Drosophila melanogaster: one gene and its partner. The protein of the gene in region 1 purifies or fractionates together with the protein of each later gene. This does not show direct contact. Each region holds a gene or a part of one and is shown on either strand. Other genes may lie near its edges.

What was found. The genes of interacting proteins can lie anywhere in the genome.
Region 2: the proteins of Toll-9 (region 1) and wek purify together in Drosophila melanogaster (affinity purification with western blotting, with the first as the bait; one study listed by BioGRID). This does not show direct contact.

What each region holds. Positions count from the first base shown.
Region 1 is NT_037436.4:20,361,329-20,368,352, reverse strand, and holds Toll-9 (Toll-9), read left to right. Parts: upstream 1-1,628; 5' UTR 1,629-2,213; intron 2,214-2,429; 5' UTR 2,430-2,434; coding exon 2,435-2,729; intron 2,730-3,456; coding exon 3,457-3,687; intron 3,688-3,790; coding exon 3,791-4,012; intron 4,013-4,227; coding exon 4,228-5,846; intron 5,847-5,916; coding exon 5,917-6,044; intron 6,045-6,105; coding exon 6,106-6,313; 3' UTR 6,314-6,510; downstream 6,511-7,024. Other genes in the region: in (inturned), read right to left, coding at 1-1,037; Prim2 (DNA primase subunit 2), read left to right, coding at 6,846-7,024.
Region 2 is NT_033779.5:15,765,633-15,770,285, reverse strand, and holds wek (weckle), read left to right. Parts: upstream 1-1,936; 5' UTR 1,937-2,054; coding exon 2,055-2,180; intron 2,181-2,240; coding exon 2,241-3,146; intron 3,147-3,206; coding exon 3,207-3,553; intron 3,554-3,617; coding exon 3,618-3,651; 3' UTR 3,652-4,153; downstream 4,154-4,653. Other genes in the region: Ku80, read left to right, coding at 1-1,547; CG3793 (uncharacterized protein), read right to left, coding at 4,575-4,611. UniProt on the Drosophila melanogaster protein: Acts as an adapter to assemble/stabilize a Toll/wek/Myd88/tube complex; required for efficient recruitment of Myd88 to Toll. Dispensable for innate immune response; plays a minimal role, if any, in the immune defense against Gram-positive bacteria and fungi.

The DNA of each region.
Region 1 (7,024 bases):
CCATTCAGTTGGCGGTAGTTGACGTGGTATTGCACCTGATCCACCAGCAGCCTTGAACTCAGCGGCTGGGTGTGCAGTTCACTGAGTACGGCGTGCAGGGTGAGGAAACTCCCACGGGCCTTGAATAGGAAGTTGTCGGGGATTTCCGGAAAGTAGTAGAGGGAATCCTGTTGCTGTTCATGCTGATAGCACTCCGGTGGGAGTAGCAGCATAGCAAAGGGCATTCTTATGTCCACGGAACTACCGGGAATACCGAAGTTCCCCTCCGTTATCAACATCTGCTCAAACTTCTCCGTGAACATGGGAAAGTTCTCCACCTTGCACACCTGCTCCTCGCGGACATTTCGATTATACCCCGGATCGGTGGGCGAAACTGCACTGGCCGCACCGCACGACTGGAAGCCTAGGCACACCTGAGTGGGCTCCACGAACTGCTTGAGCAACTCATCCACATTGCTGGCGTACACCTCTATGCCATTCAGGGATCTAAACCAATCTCCCCGCTTGATGCCGTGCTGCAGCGCACTCACATCGTGAACGAACCCATCGACCATCAGGCATTCTGGTTGGTCCGGAAAGGGCAGGACCCGGAAGCCCAGTATGGACTCCACCGCCGTGGATCGTCGTCCGAAACGGAAGCGATCAGCGGCTGTGATCACCAGATCCAGTTTCTTGGGATCGGGGGCAGCCGTCTTGAACTGTGAGAAGCGGAACTCTTGCGGCTCCGTCTGGCTATCCAACCTGCTCGGGCCGTGGGACTGGTTTTGGTTCTGACTCTGATTCTGATTATTGCTGTGCGGCTGGCGACGCGACGACTTCTTTCCCAGGCGCAGCGATCGACGCATGAACTCCACCCGCCGCTCTGCCGAGACGCCAGTCTTCTCACATCGCACATACTCCATGTAGAAGAGACTGCCGTCTGTGGACACGTACTCCTCCCAGTTGGCCAGGTCGCTGCCATCGCTGTACGAGTTGCTCAGCGAGGAGTTCGAACTGGAGAAGGCCTCCGACGGCAGGCTGGCCGGCGATTTGCGCATAGTTTACCGGGGATAGTTAACTGGGCGGATAGTTATTAGTGGCCTACTATTCCAGGTACACACTCAACTATCTGCCGCCGGTTGATACCGCCTCAGCTCAGCTCTGAATGTCGACTGAAAGCCGAGATCCGATCTCAGCACTCAAAACCAGTTTCTAATTGAGCTCTGGCTCCGACCAGCTCAATACCACTCCACTCAAATTCCAGCGGGAAACGATCCACTCCCTTTGTGATCTGGTTCTCTTTCAAGCTGGGGAAACTCAAAACCCACCGTGGGTTAAGACAAGTATAGTTACCATAATACAATAACCAATTTCTTTTCTTTTTATAAGTGTTCGCATTTAACGATTGGACTGCTAACCAGTTGATTTCAGCGTGATATTAAGTTATAAATAATAATCATGGAAAATCCTTATAAAAATAGAGCTCCGTCTGCGATATGCTGACTCTGCACAAAGTCGCATTGAAGATTTGGTGGAACTTAAAGCAAAATTGGTGTGCTATCATAAGGATTGTGTTAATCAGCGGAAGATTAGTAAAATGTTGCTTCCTCAATGGGTATCCGATGATCATTTGTCATAGGAGACTACCGCTGAAGTCCTATCTCCCAATAAATTATTTTACGGCCAATAAACTGTGTATGCATGATATGAAGGGAATTGATATAATTAATTGGGCATTTGTGGACCCGGGTGTTTTAGTGGCCACCTTTTCGTATCGCCGATGGTCTGATAATCTAAGATTTTCCAAGTGATTTTTTTCATATCGGTCTCCGGACTGGACGCCGTAAATCAAAACTTTTCTATCTGCAAACAATCGAGTAGTATAGAAAATTGTGTCTCACTGAACTCACTATGTGCTGGCCAAAAGCGAGCCGTGGCTATATCGGTTGATCCGGAGCACCGATCCCATTGAAGTACGGGCCTAATAGCCGTACTCCGACGTCCAGATAATTATCCGATAAGGAACATGGCGTGGGCGTGAAGCGGGACGCCCAGTGCCACCGAAAAAGCGATACGCTGATAGTCCCGGGCCATTCAAGGGAAGATATTGCCAAAATTGATAAGCCGTATCATGGCAGAATTAGCCGCACATGTGTACCGCAGCTACCTATTATTTCTGCTGACCATCGGAGCAAGCTGAGTCCTCCAGCCAGTCCATTGCGCGAATCCAAGGCGTGTGCTTCGCCCAGCCGCAAATAAAGTGATTTGCGGGAAATGTCGGCCGCGGTTAACTATCACAAAATGTGGCTTAGATTTCGGAATACCCAGTGAAACTGAATGAGTGGCTAAAAATTGTATAGAACGCGATTATCTGTGTGATTGTGAAATCAAACAGCTGTCAAATCTTATTTATAATCCCCCATTACAAGCACTATAGGTGCGCAATTCAGTGAATATGTGTCCAAAATATATATGGGATGTGATCGTATTAGTATGCCTGTTCCTTGGAAACGTAAGGGAAGCATACACCGAGTTTTCGATCCAGGATGGCTTGATAATAGAACCAGATTCAGCCACAACATCCAGCGAAGAGGCCGAAGAGGTCAGCAAGGAGAGAACGGACCTCAAATCCCTCATGTTGAAGTACGAATCGGATGATGGGAACAGTTGTCTGCTGGATCTGATCAAGGACGAGGTGATATGGTGGCAGTTTCCCAACGGAACCCTCAGGGACAGCACAAAGAAATACGGTAAACCTATCCAATAAAGTCCAATAAAAATCCCTGCCCAAGTCTCAGTTTGATTGGGCATTGTTAACAGCTCTCGAAACTATATACATATACTTTCACGCTTCCGGCAACGCGGATCGACTGCTTATAGAAGGTCTTTGATGTTAGCCTAATCCCACCAGAATCGGTAACATTATTATGGAACCCCTTATCAGTGAAAGCTCTGCATTACTACACCCAGAGAAATTTAAAAAAATACCGATATCGGTTGTGTTCAGCGTACTCAGTGGCATCAATCATGCTCATTAGAAGAAACCTTCTTGATTTCGAGACGAAAACGATCTCAATGTTGATATTTTTTGGCGGAAGCAGTATCGGGTTTAAAATTGTGGAAGAGAGAGAGAGAGAGAGAGAGGCAAATGAGACCAGTCATTTGCAATCTGAGAACGGTTCGATCTCGATATGAGCATGATTTGATCCTTGCTAGATTTTAAGATCAAAAATCTCATATCAAGATCGTTGAGAACAGTCTTTTCTCTGAGTGTAGTAGCTTGGGCTGGATTTGGCAAAGCCACTCGCAACTATATGGATCTTAGCGATAATAAATTGTATCTCTTCGAATGTTTACACCCGGCACTTTTTGAACTTAGCCTTTATCCCCATAGTATCCGATACTGTCACTTTTGAATATGGTAGATTCACTTATAATTTATAGGTTCTGATCGTACCTTTAATTACTTATTTAAAGCGCACAAATTGTATTTGGATCTATCCCACGGTAATCTTAAGGACGACTCTGACCTATTCCGAGAAGCGAAACTTTCGAGGAAGGTTACCATTTGGAGGACAGAAGTCTTCTCGGCCGCATTCAATACGTTGACTGCAGCTCCGTTCAGGACGCTCTACTCCATGAGGGAATCCTTGAAGCTTTTATCGCTGCGAGGAAATAACTTTGCTGAACTGATTCCAGATGCTGAAGGTAAGCTTGGCCGGGTTAGATCATTGACCATTTAGTCAGTTGTGGGAACCGGAAACGCAATGGCACACGTATTCTGATGTCCAGTTACCATTCGCCGTTTCAGACTTTGCTCGATTTGTAAACGAGTCCCGCTTGGAGGCTAGTAACTCGGTACCACACCATTGTGAACTACTACTTTTACACAATACCACCGATCTGTATGATCGGGAATGCTATCTATACTTTAACAACAACACAAACATGGGACAATCAATCACAACCGGTAGAAACTATACGAACTTTATTAAGGTCTTAAAAGATCGGTTCGATCAGCACGGAAGTTCATGTAAGATCTCAACGCAAACACAATTACACAGCAAAGACGTTTTCCTAAAAGTCCTCATGCCACATTTAATCACAACTTGATATCCGTCATTTCCATATTCCTGGTTTCATATCTGTTAAAAGGTTCTAACTATGTAACTTAAGGAGGAAGGGTTTAATTTTTAAATATCATGCCATAAATACTTCTAACACGTGAATTCCTTATCTGTTTCCCAGCCCAATCTATAGCCTGGGCCACTTTTCCAAAGATGCCCCGACTTGTGGAGCTGGACATCAGCAACTGCAGCATCGAGTACGTGAGCAAGGAGGCGTTCCGGAATGTCAGCAATCTGCGGAGGCTCTTCATGTCGGACAACAAGATCATGACGATAAGCCACGACACTTTCTACTACGTCCAGGGAGTGCAGTATCTCGACCTGTCCTTCACTAACTTCCTGACCTATAGCTACCAACTGCAGTTGCCCACTCTGGAAATGGCCTTAAGCCTGATATACGGCCTGAAGATCCAGCAGAACGTGTTCAAATATCTGCCGGAACTGATTTACCTGGACCTCTCCCACTCGAAAATGACCAGGAATAGTGCGGTGGCTTTTGCCCATCTGGGGGATAAGCTGAAGTTCCTCAGTCTGTGCTACACTGCCATTCCCATGGTGAGCAGTACCATCTTCAAGAATACGGTTCTGGAGGGCCTCGACTTGTCCGGAAACCCCTACCTATCCTACAACATCATCGACGACGCCTTCGATGGCATCGCTAACACTCTGAAGTATTTGTACTTCGAGCGATCGAATATTAAGGATTTAGAGTGGTCCAAGTCGTTGAAGAACCTTCAGGTGTTGGGCCTCGCGGGTAACAACATCAACGCTCTCACTCCCGCCATGTTTCAGTCTCTGGAGTCCCTGGAGATCCTCGACTTGAGCTCGAACCATGTGGGCAATTGGTACCGCAGTGCCTTCCACAACAACTCCGCCCTAAGGGTTTTGAACCTGAGAAGCAACACCATCAACATGCTGTCCAACGAGATGTTGAAGGACTTTGAGCGATTGGATTACCTTAGTCTCGGGGACAACGACTTTATTTGCGACTGCCATTTGAGAGCGGTGGTGGAGGTGGCGGCCGCCAATAATAAAGATGCAGACTGCTCCTATAGACTGCTGAACTATAGTCAGAATGCCGTAGGTGAGGAGGTAATATCTCTGGCGGAGTCACTAATTATAGATCGCAAGCTATGGCAGAGTCGCTATATTCCCTGGCTGCAGAGAAGTTACTCCAACATCAGGGAGTTCAATCGCGCGAATCATATAATCAAGCTGCGCTTCTCCTCCGAGGACTACATGGTAGCCAAGTGCTCCGCGGCCCAGCCATACCACTTAGGGGACCTTGACGGAGATCTTACCCTAAAATTTCAGCTGCTCGACTACGAGGCCAGTCAGTATTACTGCTTCAACAACACCGATCAGCTCCAGGTGGATGAGCTCAACTGCCAGATCAGGTCGATGAGTGACCTCGCCGAGGAGTTGCACCACGTTACGAACACAGTGATCGCAGTCATGGGCAGCTTAGTTGGCGCTTGCATCCTGGGATTTATAATTTATCTGAAGCGCTGGCACATCCACTACTATTACTCTTCCCTGAAGTCCGCTGCCTTGTTGTCCAGTGCGTCCAAGGAGTCGGTGAATAAATTCACAAACATATCCCAGAGAGATCCCAGTGCCGTCTACGATATCTTCATCAGCTACTGCCAGAATGATCGGACCTGGGTGCTCAATGAACTGCTGCCGAACGTGGAGGAAACTGGGGATGTGTCCATTTGTCTGCATGAAAGAGATTTTCAGGTGAAGCGTACTTATCTTACAACATTAACTTACTAATAAAGTGAAACCTTAACCCTTAATTCACATGCAGATTGGAGTGACCATCCTAGATAACATCATCTCCTGCATGGATCGCTCGTATTCCCTTATGCTGATCATATCCTCCAAGTTCCTGTTGAGTCATTGGTGTCAATTTGAAATGTATTTGGCACAGCATCGGTAAGGAATCTTTATCTGTAAAATTCAAATATTAAAATCAATATATGTGTGTATATTGTAGCATCTTTGAGGTCAGCAAGGAGCACTTGATCCTGGTTTTTCTGGAGGACATTCCACGGCGAAAGCGACCCAAGACTTTGCAATATCTCATGGATGTGAAAACGTATATAAAGTGGCCGACGGCCAAGGAGGATCGAAAGCTGTTTTGGAAACGTCTGAAGAGATCCCTGGAGGTCATAGGGATCAACTCCAGAGAGATCAGTGTTTAGAAAACATGTAATTTTATCCGGAGAGTTCTAGTCAGTTGTGCACGTACCTGATATAGTATATAAACTACTTAATTACACTTTCATGAAGACGAAAGTTTCCCCACAGTAATCATAGTAATATGCAAAATTTGCTGCTGAACATAAGTATAGTTTAAACATATATTAATAAATAAAGGTATTTAGGTTTTTAAGAGCTTATGTGATGTTTTTGAAATATCTTAACAAAGGCAATAGCGTCGTATATTAAACATAACCTACTACTACTGGACACTATGTAAACAAAGCTAAGGCCTAAGAAATATCTAACAATGCAACACACAATCAATACATCAGTACCAATTGACTGATAATAACAATTAAAAACGTTTAATTTTGAAATACAAATTGAATAAACCGCAAGCATCGATAATGAGCAGAAAACTATCGATAACAACTGACACAGCTGATATTTGCCATCAGTAGTTTGCGCGCCAAAACAACAAACGGGCATTCCACAAATTGTAAATTACTATAGCAATTCCCGCGACTCACAATGGAGTTTGGTCTGAAGAAACGCGCGAGACATGAGGTGAAGGTGGAGGTGGCCAGCCTGGAAACCAAGTACCCGCACAACGTCATGCTGTACCACTATCCGCCGACGGAGGACGTGCACATAGACGAATTCGAGGAGCTGGCTCTAGAGCGCTTGCGCCTTCTCCGCGTCCTGGATCG
Region 2 (4,653 bases), on another chromosome or scaffold:
AGCTGAATAACCAGAAGTACGCCCTCAGTCTCGTTCCTCGCTGCAATGCGACGTTGTGCAGCTTCAAGGAGGCACTGCATACCGTCTTCAAGGTGACCAACCGGCGACCCTGGGTGTGGAACGCAAAGCTGAACATCGGCAGCAAGATCTCCATTAGCCTGCAGGGCATAATCGCCATGAAGAACCAGACGCCCGTAAAGCTGGTAAAGGTCTGGGCGGAAAAGGATGAGATAGTGATACGGGAGACTCGTCATTATATCAAAGGCACTGAGATCACCCCGCTGCCGGAGAATCTGATAACCGGTTACATGCTGGGCGGCACTCCGGTGCCATACGACGAGGCCGTGCTAGAGCCAAAGGAACCACACCCACCTGGTCTCCACTTCTTTGGCTTTATCAAAAGAAATGCCGTGCCGGATGAGTACTTTTGTGGCGAGTCCTTGTACCTCCTGGTGCATCAGAAGCACAATCAATCTGCCGCCGTGAAGCTGGACGCTCTGGTGCGTGCTCTCGTTTCTTCGGATCGGGCCATACTGTGCTGGAAAATATATAGCACCAAGTTTAATAGACCGCAAATGGTTGTGCTACTGCCCCGCTTAGCAGACGATACCCATCCGGCTACTTTGTATATGCTGGAAGTTTCCTATACGTCTCAGCACCACTTCTGGGACTTTCCGGCACTGCGAACCACCAAGACGGAGTGCAGCGAGGAACAGCTGAATGCCATTGATCAGTTAATCGATAGCACCGATCTGGAGTGCACACTGCGGGACACGCAGCAGCCACGTCCGTGGGCGCAGAATGATCTGCTGCCGTTCGACGCACTTCCCAGCATCTTTGAGCAGAATGTCATGGACATCCTAGAGCGAAAAGTTATCTATGATAACGACAAGGAAGACAAAATGCTTAAGGACAAAAACTTCGCAGATGTATTCTGGCGAGTGCCAGATCCCTTGGAGGAGAAGTCAAAGAGAGCGGCAGCCATCGTAAAGAAGCTATTTCCATTGCGCTATAGTCGCGCCTGGCAGGAAAAGCTGTTGGCCAAGGAGCAGGCAGAGAATGGTGTGGCAGTCAAGTCGGAACCAGCGGAGAAGGAAATCCCGTTGCCATCAGACGGTGTGGGCTTAATTGATCCAATCTCTGATTTCAGGCGAGTCCTGGCTAGCGTTCACACAATCAGTAATGCCACTGAGCGAGATGCCCGCTTTCAGGCGCTGGCTGCCGATACCCGCGTGGTGATCATCACACTGCTGCAGCGCAGGAAACAGAACATCGGGCAACTGGGCGAGCTCATCACCCTGTACCGACAGAGCTGTATAGACTTCAACACCTTTTTGGAATACGACAAGTTCGCTGAGGAGCTGAAGAAGATCGCGCTGGCCAAGAATCGCAGCGAATTCTGGCAAGACGTTATGGTCGACAAGCAATTGGGCCCTTTGGTGCTTGGCGAGCCGACGCTGGACGACGAATTGGCTCTAAAAGCCTATTACACCATCGAGAATTGGGTGGAGAGTGGGGCGAACGATATGGAAGACGTTGAGATGTAGTTTATCATTCCATTTTGTTATATTAAGCAAATGTGCTAAAATTAGTTTTTGTTATACACAGTTTTTCTTATATGTAAGTCGAAAATAAATTATTATATTGTTTATATATATATACCAGAGTAAAAACTCGGTCGCATGTTTTAAAAACAACATTATATCCCTGGGAAACCACATCCAAATGATGATGATAATACATCTCTATGTTAATAAACATCGACACGCAGGAAGGAAAACGTTAGTAATACTTCTTATGATTGAGAAAAAAAAGTAAAATAAATACAATTTTCAATTCCAAATTTAAACTGAATACTTTTTGAAAATGGCGGCAACAACTTGTTGTTTTGCACTTATCGATATTTCCAAAAATCATCGGAGTGCGCATACCAATTAATCGATTCGGAATTCCGCTCCATACAGCTGATTTTAATCAGCGCTTTGGCAATAGAATTTAGTCAAAACCCGAGGGCATACTGTACCAAACTGTGGGGCTTCTGTTGAGGATTAGCCATGGGAGTTCCCACAAGCGATTGGATATACTGGTGTCGCCTGTGCGCCCGCGACGACGTTGTATACAAAGTGCGCGAGCGGGACGACGATCTGGTTAGGATTATCAGCAAATGCTTTGATGTGGAGGTATGTTATTCGTTTTCCCAGCCTACAGATAGCTTATACATTAGTTTTCCACACACGCAGATGACCCTCGAGGAACCGGAACTGGGCAGCATGTTGTGCGAGGAGTGCTACTCGGTGATTGGCCAGCTGATCACCTTCTCGGATAGCGTTTCCAAAGTACAAGCCATTTTTGAGCTTCTGCGACACTCGGAGCCGCAGGATAGCCAGGACTTGGACGCCCTGCGTCTGGAATACGGCCTTCCGCCGGCCTGCAAGCAGGACCTCGAGTTCCTGGACATAGACGATACGGAGGATAGGTGTTCCTTGGTAGAGGAGCTAACGATATCAGACCATTCCACATCTCCGTCACCCGATTTTGAAGCACAGACCGTGCGAACACGAGCTAATCTCAAACAGTGTAATTCCGATCCCAAAGTGCTAGCCTCACCTACTGCATCAATTCCTGAAGTTGAAACAAAACGAAGTCGCCGACAGCAGTTTGCGGCTAAGCGAAATTCCAAAGTGTACACTGCAACCGAGTCGGATGATGAGGAGGCCATTCTAGACGAAGACGAGGCCGTATCCCCGCCGCCTTTGAAGCGAAAAAGAGGCAGACCCAAGGGCTCAGGCAAACAGAAAAACGTGGACGACAGCGATAACGTAACTTCCCGCGAACCAGACGACAATGCTAAATCCAAACAAGATGACAAGACATCCGAATTGAGCATGTCACCCCATGGCTCCCAGAGTTCGAATTTCGTCGATTATCCCTGCAAAATCTGCAACGAAACCTTTATGTCCTTCATGGCTCTGCGCAGGCACAAGCACGACATGCACGGCGGTCCGAAGAAATACGTTTGCGATCACTGCGGAAAGGGTTTGAAGACCTTCACATCGCTGGTGGAGCACCAGCTGGTTCACACGGAAGAGAAGCCCTGTATATGCCCCGTCTGCAATGCTGGTTTTAAGAACAAAGCTAGGCTGAGAGTAAGTCATCGAATAATCTTGTGGACCAACTAAATCTTGAAATTTGTATACAATTTCCAGGTGCACAGTCAGACACATGGTGAGCCCAAGTTTGAGTGCAATGTCTGCGGCAAAAAGCTGCAGACACGGGCGATTCTTAACAAGCACAAGTATGTGCACACGGATGAGCGGCGCTTCAAGTGCGAGGTTTGTGGCAGCGGCTGTAAGAACTCCACGGCCTTGAAGATCCATCTCCTTGGACACACCGGCCTCAGACCCTACGTATGCAAGTACTGCGGAAAGGCGTTCGCCAGCAACACCAACTGTCGCTCCCACAAATGGAAAAAACATCCGGAACTGGCGTCCAAGGAGGATGAAACCGAATCTTCACGTGTTCCAGTGCCAACATTGGAAGAACTGAGAGCGATGTAAGCTATAGTCATGCATATTATTATTATTAGCTTACTATTGTACTAAATTTTTGGTTTGCAGAACTCGCGAGATGGCCAAGGCCAAACAGGATTAGACCATGTTGGTTGACAAAAATGTATAAATAGCAGTGCGCAGTAAAATTTTATCCCAGAGACATTTACATTTACACTTAATTAAACACACAACTGCCCTTTTTGCATTTAAATTGGTTTTTAATAAGTTTCAAAATAAATTCACTTTTTAAACGCACACTTAAATTGGGAAATGTGTTCACACATGAAAATGACATTGTATAAAAGATAATAATTGTTTGACTCACAATGTAGATTTAAAAATAACAATTGTAATTTGTGACACCAAATTATGCGTACACTTTGAAACACTCAATTGAAACTCCTGTGAGCGGTTGCAGCATATTTTAAAGATGAGCGCTATTCATAGAACTCCCACGCATGGTTCACTAGATTGCGACAAGTTGGTCTGTAGATAATTCCAAGGGCTTATTCACAATAAAATCAGTTTGAAATTATAACTCAGCAAATGTAAATGCTTCGTGCTAACACCAGATACATTGACACCTAATTAAACACACAACGGCCCTTTTTGCATTTAAGTTGGTTTTTTTTTTAATAATTTCAAAATACATTTACAATTTAAACGCACACTTAAATTGGGGAATGAATGAATGGCATATTGATCACCTATCAATATTTTGTGCCACAACTCGGTGATAAAATAGTAAATATTAAGCGATTAAATAATAAAAATGTAACAAGAGAAAAAAATATAAGGAACAACTAAATTAATACAAATTAGATCATTTGTGAGTGGGTCTCTGTGTAGGATAAATATCTAAACATGTTTTGATTTCGATGGTTTCTCTTTAATTACTTGCTGTTTAGGTTAACACGTTGAGAAGCAAAATATTTTGGCATGGCCTTCCTCCAAACCGAGCAGAGTCAATAAATAGTGCATCCAAGTAGGTTGGCTCTCTATCCCTTCCACCTTCACTCACTCCTAGTCAATGTTCAGCGAGGACATTAACTCTTCGACGCTGCATGGAAATAGAGGAAAGAAAAAATCATGTTGATTAAAC